Canis lupus familiaris: one gene and its partners. The protein of the gene in region 3 interacts with the protein of the main gene of each other region in a pairwise test. Links are inferred from orthologs where the notes say so. Each region holds a gene or a part of one and is shown on either strand. Other genes may lie near its edges.

Evidence for each region. The genes of interacting proteins can lie anywhere in the genome.
Region 1: the proteins of WDR6 (region 3) and PTPN3 interact in binary tests that used the Homo sapiens proteins (3 or more experiments, as listed by UniProt). The two-hybrid records come from large-scale screens. The link is inferred for Canis lupus familiaris from reciprocal best matches to the Homo sapiens genes WDR6 and PTPN3.
Region 2: the proteins of WDR6 (region 3) and G2E3 interact in a two-hybrid assay, tested with the Homo sapiens proteins (2 studies listed by BioGRID and IntAct). The two-hybrid records come from large-scale screens. The link is inferred for Canis lupus familiaris from reciprocal best matches to the Homo sapiens genes WDR6 and G2E3.

The regions. Positions count from the first base shown.
Region 1 is NC_049232.1:64,992,362-64,996,417, forward strand, and holds the start of PTPN3 (tyrosine-protein phosphatase non-receptor type 3), read right to left. Parts: upstream 2,808-4,056; 5' UTR 2,742-2,807; coding exon 2,690-2,741; intron 1-2,689.
Region 2 is NC_049229.1:10,064,084-10,068,041, forward strand, and holds the start of G2E3 (G2/M phase-specific E3 ubiquitin-protein ligase), read left to right. Parts: upstream 1-1,151; 5' UTR 1,152-1,181; coding exon 1,182-1,243; intron 1,244-1,905; coding exon 1,906-1,946; intron 1,947-3,958. UniProt on the Homo sapiens protein: E3 ubiquitin-protein ligase which accepts ubiquitin from an E2 ubiquitin-conjugating enzyme in the form of a thioester and then directly transfers the ubiquitin to targeted substrates. Essential in early embryonic development to prevent apoptotic death.
Region 3 is NC_049241.1:40,554,857-40,558,367, forward strand, and holds the end of WDR6 (WD repeat-containing protein 6), read right to left. Parts: coding exon 2,303-3,511; intron 2,194-2,302; coding exon 2,110-2,193; intron 2,019-2,109; coding exon 1,902-2,018; intron 1,815-1,901; coding exon 1,696-1,814; intron 1,597-1,695; coding exon 1,139-1,596; 3' UTR 993-1,138; intron 943-992; exon of another isoform or gene 874-942; 3' UTR 829-873; coding exon of another isoform or gene 709-828; exon of another isoform or gene 622-708; coding exon of another isoform or gene 553-621; 3' UTR 466-552; downstream 1-465. Other genes in the region: DALRD3 (DALR anticodon-binding domain-containing protein 3), read left to right, coding at 66-248, 336-449, 553-621, 709-828. UniProt on the Homo sapiens protein: Together with methyltransferase FTSJ1, methylates the 2'-O-ribose of nucleotides at position 34 of the tRNA anticodon loop of substrate tRNAs. Required for the correct positioning of the substrate tRNA for methylation.

The sequences.
Region 1 (4,056 bases), on a different chromosome or scaffold from region 3:
GATCATGCCCTGAGCCAAAGGCAGATGCTCAACCACTGAGCCACCCAGGTGCCCTTGAAATCATTTCTTTTTAATGGCTGAATAGTATTCCATGGAATGAATATACCACATTTTGTTTCCCCATTCACCTATTGATGGTGGACATTTGGATTGCTTCCATCTTTGGCTATTGTAAATAGTGCAGCATATACATGTGTTTGTCTAAGTACCTGTTTTCAATTCTTTTGGGTATAGGCCTAAAAGTGGAATTGCTGGGTCACATGATAATTCGATATTTAATGTTTTGAGGAACTGCCAGACTGTCTTCCTCTCCTTTCTCTTGTGTTTCAATAGCACCATATATTCAGGTGAATTTCTGTCATAGTACAATTAGAAGATGCCTTTAATCATAACAGGCTAGGGATCCCTGGGTGGCACAGCGGTTTGGTGCCTGCCTTTGGCCCAGGGCGCGATCCTGGAGACCTGGGATCGAATCCCACATCGGGCTCCCGGTGCATGGAGCCTGCTTCTCCCTCTGCCTGTGTCTCTGCCTCTCTCTCTCTCTCTCTGTGACTATCATAAATAAATAAATTAAAAAAAATTAAAAAAAAATCATAACAGGCTATATACGTATCTGAGAGCAGGGATTGTGTCTTCTTCATCTGTGAATCTCAGGGGGGCCTAGGACTTCATGGAGAAGGTGCTCAGTAAAATGTTTGTGGGATCCCGGGGTGGCTCAGTGGTTTAGCGCCTGCCTTTGGGCCAGGGCTTGATCCTGGAGTCCCGGGATCGAGTCCTGCGTCGGGCTCCCTGCATGGAGCCTGCTTCTCCCTCTGCCTGTGTCTCTGCCCGCACAACCCCCCACCCCCGTGTCTCTCATGAATAAATAAATAAAATCTTAAATAAAATAAAATATTTGTGGAACTGGATTGACTCTAGGAGGACTAAATACAGTTTTATCCTTGAGGAAAATGTGGTGTATGCGGTAAAGCTTTGAATATGAGTAACGAGCTAAGTGGAGATGGAGAGTGGGTGAGGTGAAGAAGAGCCTGCCGACTCCTTTGGACAAGGGGAAGGGAACACCAGTGTAGTAGAACCAGTTAGAACCAGTCATCCATATGCCTGGCGTCTATTGCTGATTTGCCTTTAGCTAACTCATTATAATTCTCTGGCAAGTTAGAGTCCTTTCTCGGTCGAATGAAAAGGTTGCATATTTTAGTGATACTCAATTTTTTGGTTTCCTTTAAAGCAATGGGCACTGTTTTTCCTGTGAACTCAATGGGGTTGGGGTACCCCTTTGAGGAGACAGAGTTGAGAGGGAGGCCAGAATGCAGGGCACCCTCTATTCCTGCAGCCCCAAGGACCTTGGCAAGACCCCAAGATCCCAAGGTGCCAGCACATTCTGAGCTCCCCTCAGTAGCTGTGAGAGACCTCTGTTCCACAAAGATTAGGAAAGCATTTGTGCACCCGGTACATATTATTCTGTAAAAAAGTTTTCTCCCCCCCCCCCCCGCCCCCAAGCAATAAAGGGGAACTTAAGGATGGAGGCAGCAACGTGAGCAAAGAACAAAAGGTCTTTCTTTATGAAAAGTTCTAGTGAGTAGCGCGCTTGATTAAAAAGAGGGTATCCCACCTCCTTCTCACCTCCTCATCCTGAAAAAAGGAAGAAGCAGAGCTACTGGCGGTTGACTTCGTGACAGAGTTGTCACACAGTTTACATTCCTAACCGAACGGATTCCTGCACCATGAGAGCATTTCCTCTGAAAAATGTCCTGTTCTGAACCAAAGCCGAGCACGTCAAGGGCAGGCTTCGTCTTGTCCTAACCCTCCGAGTTTCCTTTTCTTTCTGTCTCTCTCGCTTTCCTGGGGGGAAAATATCTTAAAAGCAAGTGGGACATTTACACTGCACCCTCGCGTTGCCTTTTCTCTGCTTTTGAGTGAGCCCCTAAAGTCAGGGGTTAGCTGGGTCCCCCCCCCCCCCCCCCGCCCCCGACCGTTTCCTGCCACGCCTGTGGCGCTGGCAGGCCGCAACCTGTCCCCTGGGCAATGGTCACTGCTGACACTCGCCTTGCTTTGGCCTCGTCCGGTTCTTTATTGCTGTGAAGCTCATTTGCAGGCCACACTGCTGAAAAGACACCGCCTGAACTTCCACATCTCTTCTCCTCTTTCAGGTTGAGGCACAGAAGTTACTCAGGCACTGAGATCGAAGATGGTTTACACAGATGTCTGACTTAGCCCAGCACACACGAGGTTCTTAACGTTAACATTCCTACCGGCTGTCATGGAAACATGGTTTGAGCAGTGCGACCACAAACGTTATTCCCATTATTCCCATTCTAGCATTAACTCTTTCTTTCTTTCTTTCTTTCTTTCCTTCCTTCCTTCCTTCCTTCCTTCCTTCCTTCCTTCCTTCCTTCCTTCCTTCCTTCTTTCTTTCTTTCTTTCTTTCTTTCTTTCTTTCTTTCTTCTTTCTCCTTTTCTCTTGTGAGGCTTCCCTTGAAATCCTAGAACTTCTCTGGAAACAGACCTTCTAAACCATGACCCCCCTTTGGGTGGCAAAGCCCTATTATAAAAATAGAAAGGATATTCAGTTTTATTAGGCCTCTGGTTTTCCTTGCTTGACATTTGCTTCCATTCCAGAATGGGCGTGAATGCAAACACCGCAATATTTCCACCATTTCTTTAAATGCTTTGTTTCCAGGAAACTTACGGTTTTCCGGAGAAGGATGCCCGCAGGACGATAATCCCTCTTGCTCGACCATGGTGCCCCGGGACGAAGGGAGCGTGGAATGCCCTAACGCTGCGAGTGGCGCTTCGAGAATGACTTAGAAAGGCCGCAGTCTGTCTGGTAAACCCCAGAACCTGTCTCAGGACTCTTGCCTCGATCGGCTCCCAAAGCATAATGCAACGTGATTATTTTCCTCTGGGGAAACCTGTGAAACAGGTCTTTGAGCTCCATTTAATGTGTCAGAGTTTTAATTGATTCTTTACCTCGGCGATCCACCCCATAATAGCAGCGCTGAGCACAGGACGTGTTTTACGGGAATAGTCACCCAGAGCTTAATTTGTTGTTGCATAGCAGACGGACGATTTCACAATGAAAATAAATCTGTTTCGTGCCCCGAGAATTTCTTCCCGGTGAAGTATGCTCTGTGATGTGGAGAGTGCAGTCCTCGGAAGCCTCCCAGTAGCACTACTGTGGTCGCAGGGAAAACTTGGTCACTGCTCCCTGTGGGCTCTTAAGACCTTTTGGTGGAGGAGAGGGGTACCCCACAACTCTCATCCTTGAGCTCATTTACTCTTGCTTCTTGAATCCCAAGACCGAGGGGATCCACATGTCCTAATTGACAGTCCATGTACAGCAACTTCCTATACCTTATCTCCATCTGTTCTCCTGATAAGAGGAAGGCGGGGCAGATTTCATTATGCCCATTTTACAGATCAGAGAACCGAGTCCTAACGAACCTTGCGACCTGCTCAAGGAACAACAGATAAGCACTGAGCGAGGGCTAGAGAGCAGATACTCTTTTGAGTAATTACTATTTTTCCCTGGAGAACAGCCAGGCCTGCTCTACCAAGGAACTGGCTGCATGCAACACATTTTCCTTCCCCCAACACAATTGGTTCATTCATTCAATCAACAAACATTTGTAGGGAGTGTGACTCTGGGGACTTAGAATTCAGATCTGCCCACAAAGGTGGCTTTCTTCTTCTACAGCTTCAATTGCTTTCTCTCCCAGGCCCTAATTCCTTCTGGTAGTAGAAATTTGTCAATTCTAGGTTTTCTCAGCTGGCTCAGCACTTCCCCAACCCTCCCTTTTTTTCCATGGTTGTATATAAGTTCAAGCCACTGAAAGGAGTGTGTGTGTGTGTGTGTGTGTGTGTGTGTGCGTGTGTGTGTGAGAGAGAGAGAGAGAGAGATGGAGGATGTGTATGGCCTTCAGAGGTCAGAGGTCTTCCCATCCTGGCTGCTATTAAAATGTGTGGCCCGTCTGGTCTTCAGACATTTGGAAAATGCTGGCATTCATTTTTTTTTTTTTTTTGGCATTCATTGTTATGTGGTGTTTTTGTTTGTCG
Region 2 (3,958 bases), on a different chromosome or scaffold from region 3:
GGGTAGCTCAGTTGATTAAGCATCTGCCTTTGGCTCAGGTCATGATCCCAGGGACCTGGGATTGGCCCGAGTGGGGCTCCCTGCTGAGGAGGATGTCTGCTTCTCCCTCTCCCTCTGCCCCTCCACCTCCCTCATGTTCTCTCTCTCTGTTCTCTTTCAAATAAATAAAATCTTTAAAAAGTTTTTATTCTTAAGTAATCTCTAAACCCAGTGTTGGGGTTCAAACTTATAACCCTGAGATCAAGAGTTACATGCTCTACTGACTGAGCCAGCCAACAGCACCATGCTGTTGAGCAACTTTTCATGTGTTTATTAACCATTCACATATCTTCCTTTATGAAGTGTCCATTCATATTTTTTGCCCAATTTTTTTTATTGGATTGTTTGCTTTATATTTATTGAGTTGTTGGAGTTCTTTATATATTCAATGTACAAGTCTTTGCCAGACACATCTTTTATGAATACTTTCTCCCAGTCTGTGGCATGCATATTTACTCTTAATTATATCTTTTGATGAGTGGAAGCTTTTAATTTTTATGTAGTATAATTTACTTATTCTGGTAAAAGTTTTGTAATTGTACCTTTTACAGTTAGGTCTGTAATCCACTTGAAACTAGAATTTTCATGGTGTGAAGTTTGGATCAAGGTTCATTTGTTTTCCATATGGATATCCAATTTTTCCAGCAGTGTTTGTTAAAAAGATTTTTCTTTTCCCCATTGATTGCTTTGTTACCTTTGTTGAAAATCAAATGACTGGAAAATATTTTTCTTGGCTTTCTAGTTTTGTTCCATTGGTCTATGTGGAATTGTGTATACTAATATACTTTGGAAAACTACATAAAGTGCTTATTAGATATTGGCATACATAGGATAAACCTTTCCTATACATGTTTTGCTAGCATTGGAGATCTTTCTTATAATCAACTTCTAGCTAATGAATGACATTTGGAGGCTTTTCAGCATGATTCTCTACATACTCCTATGGTACTTTTCCCCATCATGTAAGGTTGATGTTCACTTTTAATTCTTTTATATTTATTTTTAACTATGAGAAAGCTCATTTAGGGCAGAATTCTGAGAGTAGGAATAACAAAAATATTTAGACACCTTTTTTTTTTTAAGGTAAACGTAATTATCTTACAAATATCTAGGCAGAACTTCATCACAGTGTCCACCAAGAGATGCCTTGGGTCCTTGCAGTGAGAAGGAGAAGAGGAGGAGAAGATGTAACCACATACAAAATGTAATTTAGAACCTTGCCCATCATATCAGTATCTCTGGAATAAGTGCCGGTCCTATTCAAATATTTATTAACACTGTGCTGAATGATACAGAATTTTACCCTTGGGGAGTTTGCCAGTGTAGCTGAAGAATTTAAAAAATTCAAATAAACATAATACAAAGTAATATGTGATAATGTTTGCATTAAGGTCATTGGTAAAATTTAAAATATTTTTATTATAGTTGTTTGTGTTGTGGACCTGAATCATTATTCTGAATTATAATTTTAAGTTTTAGGTTAATGTAATTACAATAGGGTTTTGTTTTGTTTTTTTAAAATATTCAAATGTCCAGCTGGAAATTTGAAAATTTAGACTATTGTATCTTTTTGGTGCATTATAGGATATCCTGTGATGACCTCTTTCCACTAAATGCCAGTAGTCATCTTAATCTTTTTGACAACTAAAAAACATTCCCTTCAATTTTAACAATGTTCCCAGACTTTAACTTGCTTGTTGAAAACTAATGCTTTTAGATGTGTGAAAGATAAGGAAATTAAGTACTACGGAAAGAAATAATTATGCAACTTATTTGTAATTTTGCAGTGACTAAATTTTATTAAAGTGGATAATTTGAAGCTTTAGAAATTAAGATGGCTATATTGTATGTTCTTATTTCTCCTAGTAAAATGAATGAAAATAAACCTGGTGCCTCACAGAATCTTGGTAAGTAAAATATTTAAGACATTTTCAAAGCTAATTTAAAATATTAAGATATTTTACTCTTGCTTTTTTATTACAATAAAACTTTTTGGAATGTTGACTGAAGGGGCACCTAGGTGGGTCAGTGGTTGAGCTTCTGCCTTTGGTTCAGGTCCTGATCCCAAGGTCCTGGGATCGAGTACCACATCAGGCTCCCTGTGGTGAGCCTGCTTCTCCCTCTGCCTATGTCTCTGCCTCTCTCTGTCTCTCTCATGAATAAATAAAATCTTTAAAAAAAAAAAAAAAAGAATGCTGACTCAAAAAGTAGGAATGAGTTCCTTGATCCATGCTTTGTTCATACATCTGTATACAAAAGTATAATATTATGTGTATTCATTTCAACAAAAATCTGTTGTAAGAGGACAGTTTGCCAAATTTTTTTTGTATCCTCTATATGTATTTTTCAGATATGCTTTGTATCTGAATAAAACAGCATTATTTATTTAATAAACATTTTTTTTCATCTTTTTGTATGACTTTCTTACATAAGGAAAAATGCAGGTGAGACCATTTTAAACACAAAACTTAATATGAAAAGGAAAACTTATCTGAAGGTGCTCATAACAATATCAAATAGATTCAGAGACCTTTGTCTTTGTTGATTTCTTCATTTATAGTTTGTACAGTATATGTTAATTTGCTAACATGGAATGTGAGAAATTTAAATTCTTATTTTATACTCTTCTGCCACTACTCCCCTCATCTATCCTCTTTTTAAGATTTATTTTTTTATTCCTTCACAAATTAAAATATTACACTTAAAACTATCTTAACCTTCACTGATAGAGAATTATTTGTTAACTCTTTATCATCTCTCCATCATACTGGATGAGGAAATTTGTGCTCTTACTTCTCCCTCTGCTTTGCTTTTCTGCTTTTACCTAGCAGCTTCTATCAACTGTGCTAATTGTTCTGAAACTTAGTAATTCATGGACTACCTTCATATATTTGTGGACTGCAAACACTACCTTTACTGTTATTTACTTAATATTTTACCTAAGATTGGCTCAGTTTTTTACTTATATGAATGTGTTTATATCATTATTTTAATACAACCAGTATGATTTGCCATAGTTAAAAGGTGATCTTAATACAATGAAGTCAGAACAATGTTACTGAATTTTAAATATTAAAATTAAAAAACAACTAAGTGCAAATACAAACAAAAGCAGTCTACTTAAAAAAGCATGCCTGTCTATTTTGTATCCAGTGTCTCCATATACTGGGTGAAGGGAGGAAGGGAACAAATGGAAAAGCTGCTGGTCCACAGCATAATAGCAAATGCAGCTCCATCCAGCGCTCATCATGAGTACTTCTGTTCTTCTGTTCTGTAGTCTCAGCTAATTCATTATATTCCTTTTCCCCTTGATAGTTGCATGTACACTAGACGATCTACAGAACTAGAACTAAAAATATAGGCACTGGAGATGAAGGAATTAAGATGAGAGCTGCTGGTATAAGATGTCCAGTAAACAAATGGCAATTTGCTGGAGTTGATGTGGTCAGAAAGAAAAGGAGTTGAAATCTTTTGAAAGATTGACGAAAGGGCTTTCGTTTGTGGCTTATCTTATTAACCTGTAGTGAGGGAGGGCAAATATAGAGGAGGTATTTTACAACATTAAATATTATTAGCTCATGACGTTTTTTTCCAGTCCTGGAATCATTTTGTGAGTAGCTTGTTAACGAACATACCATTTCATGTATAACATCCATTCTTGATTACATGTATTAGTTAAAGGTAAATAAGACTAACTGCTAAATAGGTAAATGCCCAGGTCTTACTGGTTTAGCACAACAAAAGTTTATTACTTCCTTATGTTACTATTCAGTGTGTGGTTTGGTTAGGGGAGTTGGAATAGATGGGGAGTTTCTGCTCCATGCAGAGATTCAAGCTCCTTTCATCTTGTATTGGTTTGCTGCCTTGAGATTCTCAGTCTTTTCTCTTCAGCTAGTGATTTTCTTATTGTTTTATTTGT
Region 3 (3,511 bases):
GTGCCATGCGGGATCGGGGCTAGCGGAATTGGGTGTGAAGGCTGCACTCATGCCCCCTTCCTCAGCTTCTCCTGGCCCTGGCCGACAGCAGCATCTCCACAAAGGGCACCAGGAGTGGCACCTTCGTCATGTACAACTGTGCCCGGCTTGCCACGCTATTTGAGGGGTACAAGCACAGCACAGAACAAGGTCTGTACCCCACTTTTCCACCTGTGAGCAGTCTCGATTTCTCACTGCTACAGGATGAGGTGAGTGTCCTCCTGGGTAGCTAGGCACCTGCAGGAGGTTGGGACCTCCCCTCCTAGCACCCTTCTCCCCCCCACCCCCACCCCCAGGGCGAGTGGCTGCTGCTCTTCAATGGCGTGCTCCCTTTCCCAGACCTGCTGGGCCAGACAGCAGCCCTGGCATGTGCAGCCTCAGGGCTTCACGTGACTGCGCGCACTGAGACGGTGAGCCAGAGAAGACTGGGACAGACACTGCACACTCGATGCTTTATTCTGGGCTGGGCACGAGATCAAAGAGACCGGCCAGTGACTCAGTCTCTGTCTCTAGATGTGCAAGTTCCTGGTCCAGCTCAGCATGGATTTCAGCTCGTACTATAACCGAGTACACATCCTAGGGGTAAGTACACAACAAGAGGGGGTGGGAGATTGCAGGGGGGGCAAGGGAAGCAAAGAATGAGACCAGCAGGCCCCTTCTCTCCTCCAGGAGCCTCGACCACACCTGTTTGGTCAAATGTTTGCCCGTCTCCAGCTTCTGCGGGCTGTGCGTGAGGTGCTCCACACTGGCCTAGCCATGCTGGGTCTCCCTCCACTGAGCCACATCTAAGGCCACAGAGACCCCAATATCTAGGAATGTTTACAAAATCTTCACCTGGAAAAAAGATATAAAGATTATAGTAGAGACCTGAAGCCAAAATAAATTGTTTCTGTTACATACAAAGCCCAGCCCCAGGGTGTATTTTTGGCCTGCCGGAACAGCACCTTACTCACCTCTAGCTCCTGCTCTGAAGTCAGGAACCCGCGGCTGCCGCCTCCTCCTCTCAAGGCACACTGGGCATGAGCACAGACGGTCACTCCTGTTCCATTCTGTCTGCGAGCAGGTCCCATGCCCAGCACGCCGGCCACCGCGGGATACCTTAATCATACCAGTTGTAAACCTCAAGCCCCTGGCCCCCAAGAGCACAGCGGTGGCCAAACTCAGGGCTTACAGGCCAGCAGTCCATGTCTGCCACATCTGGGACATGGTACACAGTACTGTTCATGAAGGTGGGCTCACCGTGACCCAAACGCCAGAAGGTCAGCCGTTGGTCAATGGAGGCTGAGACCATGAGGCTTGGGCTTAGGATCTTAAGGCCTGTCACATGGGCAGCATGTGCACAGGGGACGGAATATTCCTCTAGCACATGCAACTGGGGTACCAGATCACCCCCCATGGCTTCTTCCAGCTCTGGCGCCTCCATGGCCAGCACAAAGACATGGAGGGAGCCGTCCTCACTGCCACTAGCCACAAGATGGCCCTCACGTGTGGGCAGGGTGTGTAGGCTGTTGACACCACAGCTATGAGCCTGGACGGTCAGGCAGGGGGTACCCAGGCCTGGAGGAAGAAGATGGTTGTCAGGGCCCAGCCTGCCCCATGGCTGAAAACAAAGTGGGAGGCAGGAGGGACAGCCTTGGCTGCACACCAGCTACTCACGGTAGGGAAGCCCGGGGTCGGCCGGAGGCTCCAGGGCACCAGAGCCATGGTCCAGCACGGTAGTGAGATCCCAGAAGGCCAAACTGCCATCGGTGGCTGCGCTGCACAGGAACAGCCTCCTGGGAAGCAGGGAAGGGCAGCTGGGTCAGTGAAGAAGATGGAAAACAATGGGAGCCCCTGCCCAGCCACCATGCAGCCCCTCTCACCGCCGCTGGTTGGGTGCCTCATGTGTAAAGGAATGGACCTTGAGGACACACCGCTTGTGGTGGAAGGTTTCGGCCAGGAGCTGCAGCCGCCGCCCTGAATCCTGCAAAAGGAAGAGCCTGGGGGGCGGAGGGTGGCTCAGCTCAGAACCCATTCTGGACAACCTTCCAACCTTTTTGTCTTCGCCCAGGGCCCTCTGCTCTCACTCACCTCACTGCTCCATCACTGCAGGCTGCAGCCACAAGGGGGCCGAGACCAGGCCGGTCGAGCTCACAAACAGCTAGGGACATGTACCTGCAGAGAAAACACCCGGACAGCAGTCAGGGGAAGCCTGGGAGCAGCTGCAAGGGGCTTGCCCTGCAGGACACCACCCCATGCTCCTGCCTCGCAGTACACACGTCACCTGGTCTCTGGGTCCACCTTGACCATCCGGTGCCGATTGCGCTGCCGGTCCCAGTACTCATCTAGCCGGTGGGATGAAAGATGCATGACGTGGCAGGCGAGGCGGCTTGGGGTGCTGGGGTCCGGGGTGACCATGATGCTGAAGCAGTGCATCTCAGCCCGGCCCCCCGCAGACACCACATGAGCAGTCAGGCCTGGCCGAGGATCCTGAGGGCCACCTGGGGTACCAATACCCCACACAGCCAGTGCACGCACGGAGGAGATATGGTTACAAACAGCTGTAAGTGCATGGGCCGAGCCAGTGGCTGTGGGGAGCGCCAGGACACAGACGGTAGTGTCCTCACTACACGTGATCACAATGTCAGTCAGACCTGGCCCCTCGCTGCCAGGCTCCAGGTGGTCAGGCTGCATGAAGCTGGGCACCTCATATTCAGGCCCCAGAGTGATGGTGCCCACACGCTTCACACAAGTGATCTCACGGCCATGCAGGCTCTCCCGGAGAATCACATGTGGCCGGGTGCAGCCACCCAGCGCCCGGTAGAGCATGACATCCCCATCTTTGAGGTAAGCAAAGGCCATAGCTGCCTCAGTATCAGAGAAGGCCCAGGAGCGGTGCCCTCCACCACAGTTGACGATGTGCAGCTTTTCATGTGACCGGGGACTCCACACCACAAACTCATTGGCATGGAAACCCAGGATGACCATACTCCCATCAGCCACCATGCGAAGCCCAGCCACCCAGTTCATGCCTCGACAGGACTTCTGCCTTAGGACTGGCTGCAGTTGGCCGCCTCTCACAAAGAGCTGGTAGTAGGCACCATCGCGCCCTGTAGTATACACGTAGCCACCGTGGCAGGTGACTGACGTCACACCCTGCTTCCCATGCAGAGAAGGGAGGGTGGACACAGGGCCCCACTCAGTCAAGGCAGTTTCACCCCCACCACTGCCACTACCTGCTCCAAGTGCTCCAGTGACAGCTCCGGCCTTGCCCCCAACCCCAAGATCCTTGAGCAGAGCTGGTCTGGAGGGAAATAGCAACACAGAGCCCCGGCGGTCCCCACACACCAGGAAGTCACCAGGGGGCAAGAAGGCACTGCATGTGTGCCATCTCTGCTTGCTTGGAGGCAACAGGTACCGGCAACGTTCCTTTACAAAGATGGCTTTGCCAGTGGGCGCGGCTGTGATTTCCAGGCAAGCCACCACACCACCA